2 linked regions of the Drosophila melanogaster genome follow. The protein of the gene in region 1 purifies or fractionates together with the protein of each later gene. This does not show direct contact. Each region holds a gene or a part of one and is shown in the gene's direction. Other genes may lie near its edges.

The links. Proteins that work in one complex are often made in the same cells at the same time.
Region 2: the proteins of Mpcp2 (region 1) and Kr-h2 purify together in Drosophila melanogaster (affinity purification with mass spectrometry, with the first as the bait; one large-scale study listed by BioGRID). This does not show direct contact.

What each region holds. Positions count from the first base shown.
Region 1 is NT_037436.4:14,535,262-14,542,740, forward strand, and holds Mpcp2 (mitochondrial phosphate carrier protein 2), read left to right. Parts: upstream 1-2,389; 5' UTR 2,390-2,441; intron 2,442-2,464; exon of another isoform or gene 2,465-2,587; intron 2,588-2,742; 5' UTR 2,743-2,770; coding exon 2,771-3,160; intron 3,161-3,467; coding exon 3,468-3,808; intron 3,809-4,291; coding exon 4,292-4,631; 3' UTR 4,632-5,180; downstream 5,181-7,479. Other genes in the region: CG43246 (uncharacterized protein), read left to right, coding at 1,373-1,631, 1,683-1,930; Gbs-70E (glycogen binding subunit 70E), read right to left, coding at 6,858-7,034, 7,094-7,406, 7,472-7,479.
Region 2 is NT_033779.5:6,068,224-6,076,011, forward strand, and holds Kr-h2 (kruppel homolog 2), read left to right. Parts: upstream 1-2,766; 5' UTR 2,767-2,964; intron 2,965-3,989; exon of another isoform or gene 3,990-4,190; 5' UTR 4,191-4,232; coding exon 4,233-4,453; intron 4,454-4,510; coding exon 4,511-4,760; intron 4,761-4,816; coding exon 4,817-4,950; intron 4,951-5,013; coding exon 5,014-5,239; 3' UTR 5,240-5,738; downstream 5,739-7,788. Other genes in the region: CG9150 (uncharacterized protein), read right to left, coding at 1-356; Pfdn1 (prefoldin 1), read left to right, coding at 998-1,027, 1,124-1,266, 1,336-1,543; CG9154 (uncharacterized protein), read right to left, coding at 1,585-1,955, 2,010-2,169, 2,226-2,366. UniProt on the Drosophila melanogaster protein: Member of the dosage-dependent hierarchy effective upon white gene expression.

The sequences.
Region 1 (7,479 bases):
TTTTAAATGGGCAATAAAATTCCATGAATTGTTTAAAGGAGAACCACTAACAGTCAGAATTATTAAGAAATATTAGAAGACTCGGAACCTAATTTATTAAATATAGAATCTTCCTAATGTACACAGATTTACTAAGATAATATCAATTAAAATGACCAGTTCAGAGTTTACATGTTATTTGCCGCTTATAGAAATGAGATAATCTTATGAGATCACTTACAACATGCAGTGAGCTTTTCTTTATGTTGATCGAAGGTGTTTTTAATACCATTCAAAACATTTCAAAAAGCTACATTTGCAATGTTTTATTGATTTTATCCAATACAAAGTGTAATGTTATTGTAATTGATTACTTCAATCTAGACTTTAACAGGATATTTTGAAATATTTTTAAAAACTTAATTGTATTTTCTTTAGAAAGATATATTCATTCATTTGTATATGCATATTATGTATTATATTATTATTACTTAAACCATATTTCACTTAAGTTCATATCTCATTTGTTATCACTTTTCGATTCTCCTAAATCAAACTTTCTTTTCCGCTTGCAAAAACATGACCAATCTCTTGATTACTTTTCGACTTAAGCTTCCTCTTCTCAGACTAAACCCAAATCGATCAGTTTATCGCATCCACTCTCAAGCTTTCAAAACTTATCCACATTCAATTTACTAAAACACTTTGCCGTAATCTCTATTTCAGATCCAGCTCCAGTTAGCAGACCGTTACACAAAAGCACTAACACAAAACACTTGGCAGAGCAGCTCTCCTTACGTTTAACTTTAATTACTCAATTATTTGCCAGATTTTGTTGTTTTTCACTTCTTAAGTTGGAAATTAGCCGCGAAGTACGCAGACCTAAAACGTTGGCCAACTGATTAGAGCGAGCGAGAGGCGGCGAGGGGCACAACAACGATCATATCGGATCGGATCTCGGATCGAATGGGAATCAACTATATATCGGACTACTACAGCGCGCGTGTGCGAACGCGCTACGAACCAAACTCAAACTGACGACCGAACTTCACTCCACAGAAATCCACGAGCGAGCAAACACAGCAAATACAAAAGCACAAGCAAAAGCAAAGACGGCGGCAAACAAAAAGAAAGAAGCACAAAGACAATCGAAAGACAGACTCAAAGCTTAGCGAAAGAGTCCGTTGAAGTTCTTTTGGTAAGAACCACAAAAAAGGCGGAAAGGCTTAAATAATCCTTGAACTTAATAATAACCTACATAATATAAATATCCAAGTGTATATTATCAGTCACTTTTGTTCGTTTTGTAACAATAGTCGTACATAGTGGCCTTTGGAAATACATACATAAACTTTATCAACGCGGTCTCATTGAATTATTTTTCTTATTTTAAATGTCTTTTAATTGTATATATTTTCTTATTATACTCAGTGGGAGACTGTTGATCACCTGTGCCGAAAAAAACGTATCTATAATAGAAAATGGGAGATGCTTAGATTGTAGGAAGGAAAATACGGAAATGTGTCGGATTAAAGAGACAGGATTCAGTTGTTATGAAGGAAACTTTTATAGGCGATTGGGTCGTCTACAAGGTGAATTCCCAAAAACAACCAATAAAGAGGGTGTTTGCGTTCCACCCGGACTGCATATCGGTATAAGAAGCATTTGAATAGTAATAAAAGACTAATTTTTTAATTTTACAGATACTATGAATGCCAAAGTCTGCTGCGTTTGGTCACCAGAAATCGGTTGTCAAATCTTATTAACTGAAGATCACCAGGGTGAATTTTGCTTCACTTGCAGAGTGAAATATAAAATGGAATACAAAGGCCTAATTTCCTGTCCGTGCGTAAAAAGTGAAGGATTGGGCCAACCCCATGTGAAATCATGGCAGAACTTTATTTTCACATATTTACTCATAAAATTATCCAGTTTTACCATGGGGCTATAACTTATAAATTTAAAATGTACATATAATTGAAAATTGTTATATATTTTACAGAGAGTTCTAAATACAATAAAGCTTTAGATTAAAATTTGTTTTATTGTGTAAAAATAGAAAACAAATCACAAATACTATGCAAAAATATGAGGATTTTACAAATGAATTTATTATTTTTTCAAAATATTTACAACTAATGTTATCAATATGAAATTAATATTAATAATTAATATTTTATTCACAACGAAGGCAATGGCATTAAAATAATCTCACCTGATACCTCGTATGCAGATGGTTCGAGTCCACGCTCAGGCGCCACCAAAGTTTTGCACCAAGGTTGCAGTCCATAGCCGAAGATTTTGACATGAGTGTGGCCAACTATCCTCAATCCGCTAGTTACACCTCTCCACGGCAAAACCATTAAGGCGTTTTGGTATTCGTGAGAAATCGCTGCACCTCCGTGAGCCCCCCCTCATTCTTTGAATCCTCGCCAACGAGCCGCTAACGTTGCTGACGAATAGTAAGTGCGAAAATTCCGAGCGAAAATTGCATAAGTTTTGTAAAATCGAAATCAAAGTAGCCGAGCGGTGCTCTATCGCTCCCTTAACATACACTAAATTTACGTGGTTGCTTAAAATCCTTCGCTTTTCGGGTAAATTTGGTGTCGTAAGTCCGGGTGCTCGGAATTCGAGGCACGCCGTTATGTAACCTACAAAAGCGAAAAGCAGCTGATTACCCAGCTATATATATAATTAGATAAAGCACATGTCGCCTCCGAGGTACATATATACGTAACTAATGGATGGTCTCTCTACTTTCAGCCGACCCCAGAACAAGAACAGAATCAAGATGTTCTCCAGCTTCTTTGAAACTGCCCGGAACTCGCCATTCCGCACCCCCATGTCGATGGCAAGATGCGATGCCGCCGCCCCAGTGGTGGAACCCCAGCCGGTTGAGGGTCGCCAGATCGCCGCCGCCGCTACCCCGGTGGCCAACCAGCAGGATTCGTGCGAATTCGGCAGCACCAAGTACTTCGCTCTGTGCGGAATTGGTGGCATTCTCAGCTGCGGCACCACCCACACCTTCGTGGTCCCACTGGATCTGGTGAAGTGCCGTCTGCAGGTCGACCAGGCCAAGTACAAGAATCTGGTGCACGGATTCAAGGTCACCGTGGCGGAGGAGGGCGCCCGCGGACTGGCTAAGGGCTGGTTCCCCACTCTGCTCGGCTACTCGGCACAGGTGAGATTGGGCTTCACTTTATGGGTTGCATAATCGTCTGGAGGCGAATTATATGCTCGTGACCAGGTCGGCTGACCTTAATTACATCGGTTCCGGGCTTGAAGCAGATAAAAGTGATTCGAATCGAACATTAGGAAGTTTGATTCCTAGGCTGATATCTTAGTATACCTCAGAATAACAACACACCTTTGACAACTTTATGGTTACGGGAGAAACAGATACCGAAGATAAAATCTTGGATACTACTGCAAACTGAAAAATAACTTCTGAGAAACAGCAGGCTAATCCGCGTTTCTGTATCTTTCAGGGTCTGTGCAAGTTCGGTCTGTACGAGTTGTTCAAGGTGAAGTACGCCGAAATCATTGGCGAGGAGAACGCCTACCTGTACCGCACCTCCTTGTATCTGGCTGCTTCCGCTTCGGCCGAGTTCTTCGCCGATATCGCTCTGGCGCCGTTCGAGGCCGCCAAGGTGAAGATCCAGACTATTCCCGGATACGCCAACAACTTCCGCGAGGCAGTGCCCAAGATGCTAAAGGAGGAGGGCGTCAATGCCTTCTACAAGGGTCTGGTTCCCCTGTGGATGCGACAGATCCCATACACCATGATGAAGTTCGCTTGCTTCGAGCGCACCGTGGAGCTGCTCTACAAGTAAGTAACATTTCCTCTTTAGGTATCCTCTAGTTTCTACAGCGGAAAAACTTACCAGTGCTGTGCACAATATCTGTATTCGTATTAGCGTTTTGCTATTACAATAGTTTAAAGGTAGACTGTTAATCTGTGAAATTTCAAAAGTGATATGCTAATTGATCAAAACTGAAAGTATTCATAATAAAATAAACTTTTAGCGCGTCAGCAGATAAGAATGCCATTCGTATCTAATAAATGGCACGCCAGAATAAAAACCAACGACGAATGCTTATCTTGTTCAAATATAGGAAAATCATATTATTTCAGAACTAGTTTGTTACTATGGATAAAATAAAAAAAGCAAAGCATTCCTTTTGAAGTGCAAATTAGCAGGTAGCCACTGAAAGTTCAAATGTAAAAACTAGAGCAATACCGTTCACAGTTCGGGTTGTCAAGCCCCAACGAACCCCGTTAAATCAATACTAATGATGCAACTTTTCCCAGGTATGTGGTGCCCAAGCCTCGTGCCGACTGCACCAAGGGCGAGCAGCTGATCGTGACCTTCGCCGCTGGCTACATCGCCGGTGTGTTCTGTGCCGTGGTGTCGCATCCCGCTGATGTGGTGGTGTCCAAGCTGAACCAGGCCAAGGGAGCTAGCGCCATCAGCGTGGCCAAGTCGCTGGGCTTCAGTGGCATGTGGAACGGATTGACTCCTCGTATTATCATGATCGGTACCCTGACCGCTCTGCAGTGGTTCATCTACGATGGTGTGAAGGTCGCCCTGGGCATTCCCCGCCCACCACCACCAGAGATGCCAGCTAGCCTGAAGGCCAAGCAGCATTAAGTGGGCTAGTCCAATTGGTTACCTTAAGGACAGAGTTCACTAGTTGGAGCGATTGTGGGCAGACACAGGAGCAACATACTTTTACTTTCTAACGAATTTCGGTTTCAGTATAGCGAAAATGCTTTATACTTGTTTCTCAGCAAGAATACATTAATGTTGCGTGTGTGCCATTGCACATGTACATTCCAAAACAACACTTTACGCATTTCTCTAACACAGCACTTATACACACTTTTTTATAAACACATCTTTCTAACTTTAAAAGCCAAACATTCTATCGTACGAAACTAAGCTACACTCAAGTTCAAAGTATTCAATTCCATATATATTCTGTTATACTATGTGCTATATTTAATCCTATGTGTGTCTAGCTTTCGCTGGAAAGTATGTCCGTATGTTGTACCTTTGATGGCCAGCCCCTTGTTATCTCCTCTCCGCTGCCCCCACAGGCCACACATGCGAATATGATATTAATGCTGTTTCAATTGTCTGACCCGATACCCAAGAAAGCACTCTGAATAAATTAAATTATAAAATATAAAAAACTCTACCAAGCTGCGTTTTCTAATCTTGTCTATCTATTGGGAACTGGTTATTATAGATTGTGGCTGTGATCACATTAGAACGATCGTGGGGATAACCTTATGACCTTATGATTTCCCTGACATTGAAAATGGGGTTTTATGGCGCTATAACTAACTAGCATTGTGAGGTAACCAAACAAGAGATCACGAATGCTGATTGCTTTAAAGGAAAACGGCTAATTTCGGTTTTGTTTAATCGTAATCAGCTGCCAATTGTCTGCGAGAATTTTTATGTGTTGCACAAAATGTCGATTTAAGATGTTTGAGCTAATCTATTATAATTAATATTTTAACACAATGAGCGATTTTTACATATTTAATTTTTAATAACCCACTCGATACTGTTGTAATATTTGTTTGATGCTTCTATAGAATTCGAATGCAAATCTTCATCTCAATTAAATTTATTAAAAAAAGGTTTGGACGTCTTGGCTAAATAAGAAGAACTACAGTATTTTTTCCAAAAATATTTATTTTGTTTATGAGCATTGAGCTGAATAAGACATTACAGTGGCTCGTTGTGTCATAAGTCCAGTAAAAACTAAATAATTAAATAGTACGCTTTATATATGGGCACATATATAGTTGATTTATTCACGTTACGTCAGTTGGGCTCCTTACTAACTAAATAACCTCTAAGAACTAAAAACTAGTCATCGTGATATAACTAAATTCATATGTGTATATAAATGTATTTAACAGGCAATTTTCTGGTATATTGTTTTGCTTTTGCTTCTGTATGTACAAATCGCTTAAATCTAGCTAGGTGTATATATCATATATAGTCGGGGATCTGGATCACACAGAACGATGAGGACAAAGTACTTTGTTGTCTGTAATGTGGTGATGCGAAAATTGCTGGGTTCTTTTTATTATATAATGTATTGCAGGACGTGTTTTCTTCTCCATAACAAGCCATTTCAGTCTTAGCGTTTCAAGTAACCAAAAAGATAAAAGTGTATAATGAAATAAAAAGAATAGAAATAAAAAGTAATAAAACGAATAAACTTAGGGCTACAATTTTGTTGCTTTTCTTGTGTTCTTTCATAATGTGTGTTTTGTTGGTTTTTGTTTTCTTTATTTTGCAGTTGCAGTAAATTTCGAAACAATGGTTTGCTTGAATGCTTCACGCCTCAAAATTCATCTCCTTTCATTTTTATAAGGTTTTTTTTTTCGTTTTTAGTTAACATAAATCTAGTATCAGTTATATAGATGTAGACGATCACACAGGCATACAGGTAAACATATAAATCTATCTTTTCCAAAAATTCTTTACAGTCAAACATAAAACATTTTAAAAAGTTATACATAGATTTTGAAATTCCATCAAGTTGACTAAAGACAAGACATACAAATTCGGGCTTCGCTCAGTAGAAGTAGTTATAAGCCCTCCTATCTCATTTTATATTGAGTAAACCTCAAGTCAATGGCACATTAAAATTGGGATATTTGTACCGGGTATTAGCTTAGGTCAAAAAGTTTCGTTAGTGGTAAAATCTTTTGGACTCTCCCTCTGTCAATGAAACTGATTATAACACTTTAAATCTTTTCCAATTCTGTTTCTTTCTGTTCATGTGGCCTAAATGAGAAACTTTATTCAATCGCTTGGGTCAGGAAAATCCAATCCCGTTCCCAGGCGATTTCACCAATATGGCGTATGTGGCTCCTGGTGCCAGCCATTTTGGTCTTGCACCTTGGCCAAGGCATCGGTCAGGGTGGACCTTATTTGCTGGCTCGAGTTGCGATTCTGACCCTTATCATAGGGCGACAAGGCGTTGTAATAAAAGGGCGATCGCTTGCTAATGGTGTAGTTTTTACCCTGTAAGCAAATACAAATTATGTAAAATATTTTTTAAGTTATTTTGATGCCAAACTCACATCATTATTATCCCAATATTCTGTTTCGTTGGTGCGATAGCAGATGCAGAATTCCAGGCGCTTGGAGGATGGCGGCAAGGTGATTTTGAAGGAGAATGTATCGAAGACTACATGAGCACAAGTAGCCGGTCCATAGGCCCTGGCGTATGTACAGAAGATATCCTGCTGGCTCTTCCAATCATCCCAGGTCACACGGACAATGATCTCCTTCTGGAAGTCGATATTCTTCACCTTGATGGTGCCCACGACAATCGATTCCTCATCCTTGACGATCACATTCTCCAAGGAAACAAAGTCGCGTTCTATCTTTTGTCTGTGTAAATACAAATATTTAGAATACTCGTATATATTTTACAGTTGTGTAAATAGGGTACCAACCTAAATGA
Region 2 (7,788 bases), on another chromosome or scaffold:
CCCATTACGTTGGTGTCTATGACCTCCTTAAGCTTCTGCGTATTGCTCGGGGTGACCAGTTCCGTCTCGCGAGTAATGCCAGCATTGTTCAGCAGCACGTCGGCGCCCTCCAGCTCCCGTTCGATCCAGTCAAAAGAGCTCTGCACCTGATCTTCCTTGGAGACGTCGCAGCGCCGCGGTATGAAGTTCGCCTGCAGCTCCCGGGGCAGACTCTCCCTGAGCTCTTTCAACTTGGCCTCCCGACGTGCCAGGCCCACCACCCGTAGTCCAGCGCCGATCATGGCCCGAGCACAAGCGGCGCCTATGCCTCCGCTGGCTCCTGTTACCACAGCCAGTTTGTTCTGCCACCGCTCCATGCCGTCTTGTGAATGAGGAGCTGATGCAAGTAAGAAGCCCGCATCGGAAACTCGGGAGCAGTTTCATGGCTTCTTGGTTCGCAATTGAGGTTAATCTCCAACGGTCAAATGTTGTTGTCAGGTTGTAGATATATATATTAAAAGAAGATTCAACAATTTGGGTCAGGATTATACGCACTTAAGGTTAGGCTATCCTTTTATTCTTAAATTGACCTAAAGAAAATGTATTAAGGAACTGCGAGACTTTAAATATAAAATAAAATAGCTCAAATGTATATATTTTTTTAAGATTGTGTACTTTTTAAATTTGAATAAAAATTTTATAAGCGATAACATAAAAATTAATATTTGTACTTGGTAGTGACCAGTGACCACATTTTAAAGAAAAATTCAATTTGCATATTTATTCAAAGTCTTGAAATCGGTTTGAATTTACACTTGCCGGCAAATTGGTTATCGATAGTGCAGGGCGTACTCATCGATATTTTCAGGCCAGCAGGAGTCAGATATAACTGCCATCACTAATAAAGTAGAAAAAAAAAACCATAAGCTTACCGCAGGTGTTGCAATTTTCAGTGAATTCGCAGCAAAGCCAAGCAATTTGCATTCAATCATCTGTGAAGGAAAAGCTATCACACAAAATGGCACAAATGGACATCGAATTGAAGAAGGTGAGCGGAAGGCAAGTTGCCAAAAAGGCCGACTGCCGACGGAGAGCGCGTGCTCTTCCAAAGAACTTAGTCATAGACGATTCCTTTTGCACGCAGGCCTTCACCGAGATGCAGATCAATAAGCTGGAGACGACCAAGAAGATCCACATGATCGACATGAAGTGCGACATGGTCAAGACAGGCAAACAAAAGTACCAGCTGACAGAAAAGGGCACCAGCAGCTTGGCCGACGACACAAGGTACATAACTAGAATCACAATTAATCATCTCCAGGTGTTCAGGTGGCTAATTGAACTGTTTCCCTATAGAGTTTACCAGTCCGTGGGTCGCATGTTCCTGCTTACCGATGTACAGAATATGCGCGAGGACCTGAAGGCTAGGCAGGAGAAATGCGACAAAGCGATAGAACTGCTGGAGAAGAAGAAGGAGTTCTTGCAGAAGTCCCTTAAGAGCCAGGAAGACGGTCTGCGCGAGTTGGTGCAGCAGCGCAAGGAAGCCGATCAGACTGCGAAATAGACTACAACTCCAAACTGGCATTTATCCCTCAACGCAATTGCTTATTTATTTTCAATATACTCGTCTAAATTGAAGTTGGCGTAGCTGACAAACTTGTTGCCCAGATTGCGTTCGTGTTCCGGGCGGAAGCTGCACTTGAGGACGGGCAGGCGAGCGGTTAGCCAGGGCTCCACCACCTCACCGGAGCACAGGATTACCTTGCTCTCCTTCTGGTTTCGTTGCAGCCTAGTGATTATTTCACACGTTTTGGCGATGCACTCCTGGGACAGGAAGGGCGGGTCGGCCACGATGAGGTCATATTGCTGGTGGTGCTCTTTGAGGTAGTCCGGGTTGCTCCCTACGCAGTTCAAGTCGTAGTGCACAAAATCTGTGCCATAGGCCTCGAAACGCTTGTCGAACTCGAATATGTGCACTACAAGATAGAATGATGACAATTCATTCATAATCGTTTCACATGTCCACTTACCTGTGTCATGTATCTCCCTGATGTCCTTGTAGAGCGATGGGCAGGAGAGCAGTGCTATACTAAAGTCACCCGAATCCTCCGTGCGCTCCGCCAGAAGCTTACGCACAACATCACGCAATGCGTGCTTGGTTTCCGTGCTGTACCAGAACTGACTCAATTGCTGCAAGCGAAGAGAGTTTCACCATAAGTTTCTAAGGTATGTGCAGGTGCTCTTGCCCAATCCTCCTCGAACTGGGCATCCTTGCCGGTCTTGTTGGCGATTTGATTCTCCTCCTCGGCTTCGCGTTTTGATCTCTCCAACAGAAATTCGTTTAAAATGGCCAAAGTGTCGGCGGGCAGCGAGATGTCGTCGTCCATAATTAATTATTTGCCACTAAATGAATCTTAGAGCATTCAAATCAAAATAAACCAAAATGTGCGTTTGAAGATTAGAGGTGCGAAATTAGCGATACAAATGAGAACTTATTGGGGGGATTCCAGGCCTTGGCGCTGTTTTCAAATTGTAAATTATTAGAAACTTAGGCCAACTGCGATATTGAAATTATACTTTCAAAATAATATGCACTTTAACCGTATGCAAATCGATTACCAATTTTAATTTATTTTAAGTTATTTTATTAATACAACTAGCTCCAGAAACCTGTATCGTAACTTTTATTTGACAACACATTTTCAAACTGTACTGAATATTTAGGCGTTTAATCGACAACTAAAACAGCAACTTTCAAGTACGTGGTCTTTAAATTTCGTAAGATCGAGAAAGCAGTGCGATACAAATCGGTGGCAGCCCTGTGTCAGTTCGTTTTTATCGAACTAGATCAACTTTGCCCGTCCATCTCTAGTTCGCACGGGAGCCCCGACCAAACTGATACGTATTAATTTACGAGAAAAACTTGCGTTTAATTCGAAGTCACATCATATCGCAGGCTGGAACGTACCTGCTGCTAAGTAAGAGGTAAGTGAATGGCCAACGTGAATTAGGAAAAATCAGTGCCTTGCCGGAAACGAAATCCATGTGATTAAAGGCTAACTTTCTTCGCTTGACGTCGTTCCCAAATCGGATAAAAGTGTGCTGCTGGCCCAGTAATTACACTGGTGAATTATGCAGGTCGGCATTTGGACTCGCTCCGCGACTTCCGTGCGGGGGAGGAAGCATCCAATCCCCAAGCGCAACCGTTTCGAATTTCTACAGCGCGGCGCGAAGAGCCCTGCACTTTGATTTCGTTGCCGTTCATTGTGGAGTTCAGTCGGGTCAATCAGCCTCAATTTGCGAGACTTACCTTCTGAATCTCTGACGTGTACCTACCAACCAAACTGTCCACTATGTGACATCATATAATTGGGCTTCCGACTCCGGACTATTGCATGAATAATGTGCGCGCGGGTTGACAGGTGCTACCTTAAATTGACTAGGTGACCCACTTCCGTTGAAGGACCCTCCGTCCACAGATCCCAATCGATACGGCTGCCCCACTGCCAGTCTCATTACTCGACATGTAAATCGAAAGTACACGTAGGATGGACCCCCTCGGTTGGGTTTACTTAATCGCTCAGACCAGCCCACTCCCCCTCCCATGTTTCACCTGTTGCCACCTGTTTGTGTTTCAATATTTTGACGTGTATTTCGTAACAACATGCACATTGTGCGCTGTCTTGCAGTTTTCTCTTCGAGCTTCGTAACGAAATCTTTGCGTTTAGTGCGCTAGGCATCATAAACCGCATACTCGAGAAATATAATTGCCAAACCGTAAGAGTACATGATACTTTAGCGATGGCTTGGCTGTTTTCTTTTTTTGGTTGCCTCATGCAAAGCACTGTCCGTAATGGTGGGCAAGTCATCTTGGCTAAAGCGAACATTAACACGACTTTTGGGCCAGCCCGTTCTCGTTTTAAGTGCGTTTGCCAGCCACTTTCCATTTGACTGGTTTAACAGTTGGCCCTGACTTTCAATTAAGACGTAAAGCGCTTGGCACTGAGAAGCGTAGTGCAGTCTAATCCTGGAGTCATAGAGGGCAGATCTTGCGGGCTATTCATTAGGTTGGAACCCTCACACATCAGATAGCGCCGCAGTTACTTAGCCAAGGTTCTCTTATCGCTGCCTATGCCTAAGATAGCAGCCAAATTCCCGCCGATAAGGCCGAAAGTAGAAACCTTATACTGATTTTCATAACTGCCTTGCAGACTGAATACTGAACGGAAAGCGAGCACGAAAGCTACTTCATCATGAGCGCACCCACCGACCAACCACCGCGCTCCGAGGGCGCTCAGACCAACAGCTCCGAGAGATCCTCACAGCAGCAGGAGCAACCGCAGCAATCTCAATCACAGAACGTACCGGCCAAGCTCCTGCAGCATTTTCAGACAAATCGCATAGATTCCGCGCTATGGGCACTACGTCTGCTGGTCATCTTCTTCACCGTCAGCTACGTGCTGCCCATCTTTACGTGAGTACACGCGTTTTCCACATTGACCTACTCTAATTTTCACTTACTTCTCCACAGCTCACAACAGAGCGCATTCAGCAAGGTTATGCTGGCTAATGCCGCCATCTCTGCCTTGCGTTTGCACCAGAGATTGCCCGCGTTCGCGTTCAGTCGGGAGTTCCTTGCTCGACTGTTTGCCGAGGACTCGTGTCATTACATGATGTACTCCCTGATCTTCTTCAACATCCGCCCATCGCTGCTGGTTCTGATTCCCGTGCTGCTGTACTCAGTTCTGCACGCCTCAAGCTACTCGCTTAAGCTGCTGGATGTAAGGAAAGCAATATTTCACATTTGGCACTTGTCTAATAAGAAATGTACTTACAGCTGATTGGCCAGAACTCGTGGTGGGGTGCCCGTTTCATCATCTCCATTGTAGAGTTTCAGGCGGCGAATATCCTGAAGGCAACTGCATTCTGCGAGATCTTCATCATGCCTTACGCCATTGTGCTGGCCTTCATGTGAGTTTTAACACATATCTTTCGAGGGGAATGCACTCCAATGCAGAATACTTTCAATTTTAGGAACCACGCTGGATTGATGACGCCCGTTATTTACTACCACTATCTGGTGATGCGCTACAGCTCGCGACGAAATCCCTATCCGCGCAACGCTTTCGCTGAGCTGCGTATAACCTTCGAGGCGCTGGCCGCCCGCTCACCGCCCGCCTTTGCCAAGATCATCCGTGGAGGCATTGGGTTCGTCAACCGCTTGGCGCCGCAGCTACAGCCGGCTGCAGCGCAAGAGTAGACACGACAAGCAGCTAACGGAAAACAACAATCAAATGACATATGAATAAGGCTATTTAAATACCAGTTCACTTGCATAGATGTTCACACAGGAGATTGGGGTTCATCCGTTTTATTTGTTAGCCGAAATTCGTTGCACCTTTTCGAAGCGAAACTAGTTGTTTTACACCAGATTGTTTCGGCATTTAAGTTTAAATTTATCTATATATTATTGTAGTTTTTTTTGAGTACATCATCATGCTTTTTTCAACAACACACAATGTGGCAACGCACGAATTCCGCCATGGAGGATCAACGGCGCGTATTACTATATTTATATCCCAAAAACAAATTATTTCAATTTGTTTTGCTTTAACTTATATGTTCAAAATACTGATCAAACGAAAAACATGGACAGCTAACGCTGTTAGTAATTATTTACATATATTTTGTATGAGTGTGTAAAGATTCGAAGAACCAAACAAAGTAAAGTAAAGTTAAATAAAACATTTTGAGAAGGTACTAGAATTTGGACTACAATTTTTTCTGGTTGATTGGCTTTAAATCTTCTGCTACTGTATTAAGTGGTTTGCACTTAACTTGTTTCTTCTCAAGCCAATTAAAAAATGATATCAATCGTAATAATTTTCGTATCATCCTTAAAGTATGCAATACCTTAATTTCTCCACTTTTGGTCAGCGGGCTCAAACAGGTGAATGGAAGCGTTCCCCAACATACTCCAGATCAGGATCACTAGTCGATTTGGCCATGTTCCAGTCGGACACGAATAGTAGCAATCTAAGCACTTTTGTACAGCGCCGAAGCATCAACCCACAACGAAACTAATGAAATGATTTCTGGGTGTGAGGCTAGGGCGTTGGTAGCTTGTCGTTGGCTCTGGACTTCTTCCGAATTTCCACCAAGTTCAATGAACTTCTTGCGCAGCGCCAAAAAAAAAAAATGTTCGTCCAAATGAGGGTGAAGGCACCCGAGCTTTGTTGTGTTGTGTAGGTGAAACGACTCACTTTCGTTCTCAGTGCCGGGAAAACTTTGGGGCAGGGGCTTTTCCTCGGCGGCATGGAGGCAGGGTAGCAGGGTATCAGTGTAGCAGGGAGTCCGTCCAATAGCACTGCCAGTGAGCCAGTTTATGGCATGGAGTGGTGTCTGCGTTCATCTTCATATGCGTGTTGATGCTTTCATGGGGTTCTTGAACTTTACCTCTGTCAAAGATTTGCTTTCTTGTTCCGATTATCCGAAGACAGCGGGAGGAACTTTGTGGCGTGGATTATGTTTCACTTAATTTGTTCAGCTTTCCTAGGTTCTTTATTAAATCAAAAATAAGGGCATTGATTTGTAGCTTCCGTTCTTTTGGGGGAAAAGCTGAAGCATGGAAAATAGGGAATTATTGGACCTGAAAAATTACGGAACCATTGCCACAAACTCACATGTTTTTTATGTCGTTCGTAGGAGCAAAAGAAATGATAGCCAAAATTTACTATAGACATTGTTTTATTTTTTTTGGGTATGATCAAGTTTTCTTCACCAGTACTTCAAAGAAATTATGAAGAAACCGAAATCAAAAAGATTACAATTATTAATAATTTGTAGGATAAATACTTCTAGGGTTATATTGGGGATGCTTAGATAATTGATTATATAGATAAAATATTAAATGCAAAGTGGTGGTGAGGTACCTACTTAATCCAAAGCACTACGAATCTAAGCAATGTTATCAAATAATAACTCTATTGGTAACTTGGAGTCAAGCAAATATGGGCTTAAATGGGTCAAGCTGCATTGCGTATGGGTTCGAATAGCAACCCCCTGGAAATTTTTGGCCTGGGACACGCATAAAATTTGGGCACAAAACGGAGTGCCTATGCATTTCCACCCTAGTTGTCCCCCCAACAAAAAAAAAATAAATAAAACGAATGACATCATGTTAGCCCCCTCCCTCCCCCTCCCACACACACACACACACACACAAAACAGCCGAAAAGCAGTTGCACTAGCTGTTCGCATTCGTGAGTGTAATGTGAAAACTAAATTAGATACCGAAAGCGAAAGCATAAAGCACAGCTGAAAAATAAGCCCCACGCATTTGGGGTTGTCCGCCTCTATTCCCCTTCCCATTCCCCTTCCCAATCCCCTTCCCATTCCCCTTCCCATTCCCTTTTCCCATCCACAAGCCAGAAAAGGTCTTTGAACTCTTCACCAAATGTTGTACGAAAATGGGTCACGACTTGAGCATTTTCCAAATCGAAAATTTCCCCCATTATCAATGGGGGAAATTGTCTCTAAGAAAACCACGCAGAATTTCCCCCAAAAAACAATTTCAATTGTATTGCGTAGTCGTCTGGAGTTTGCGCAGCTCCATCAGCTGATTGGGAAATTTATGCCACCCGCAGCAATGGAAAATTGTGCGTTTTTGTTTGAAAAAGTTGTGATTAAAAAGCCAATATTTAAATAATTTATTCCCAATTGACTAACAAAGTTATTTATATTTGCTAAATGACAAATAAATTAAAATAAAATTAAATAAAATGTGTTCGTATTAAAGATTTTATTCCA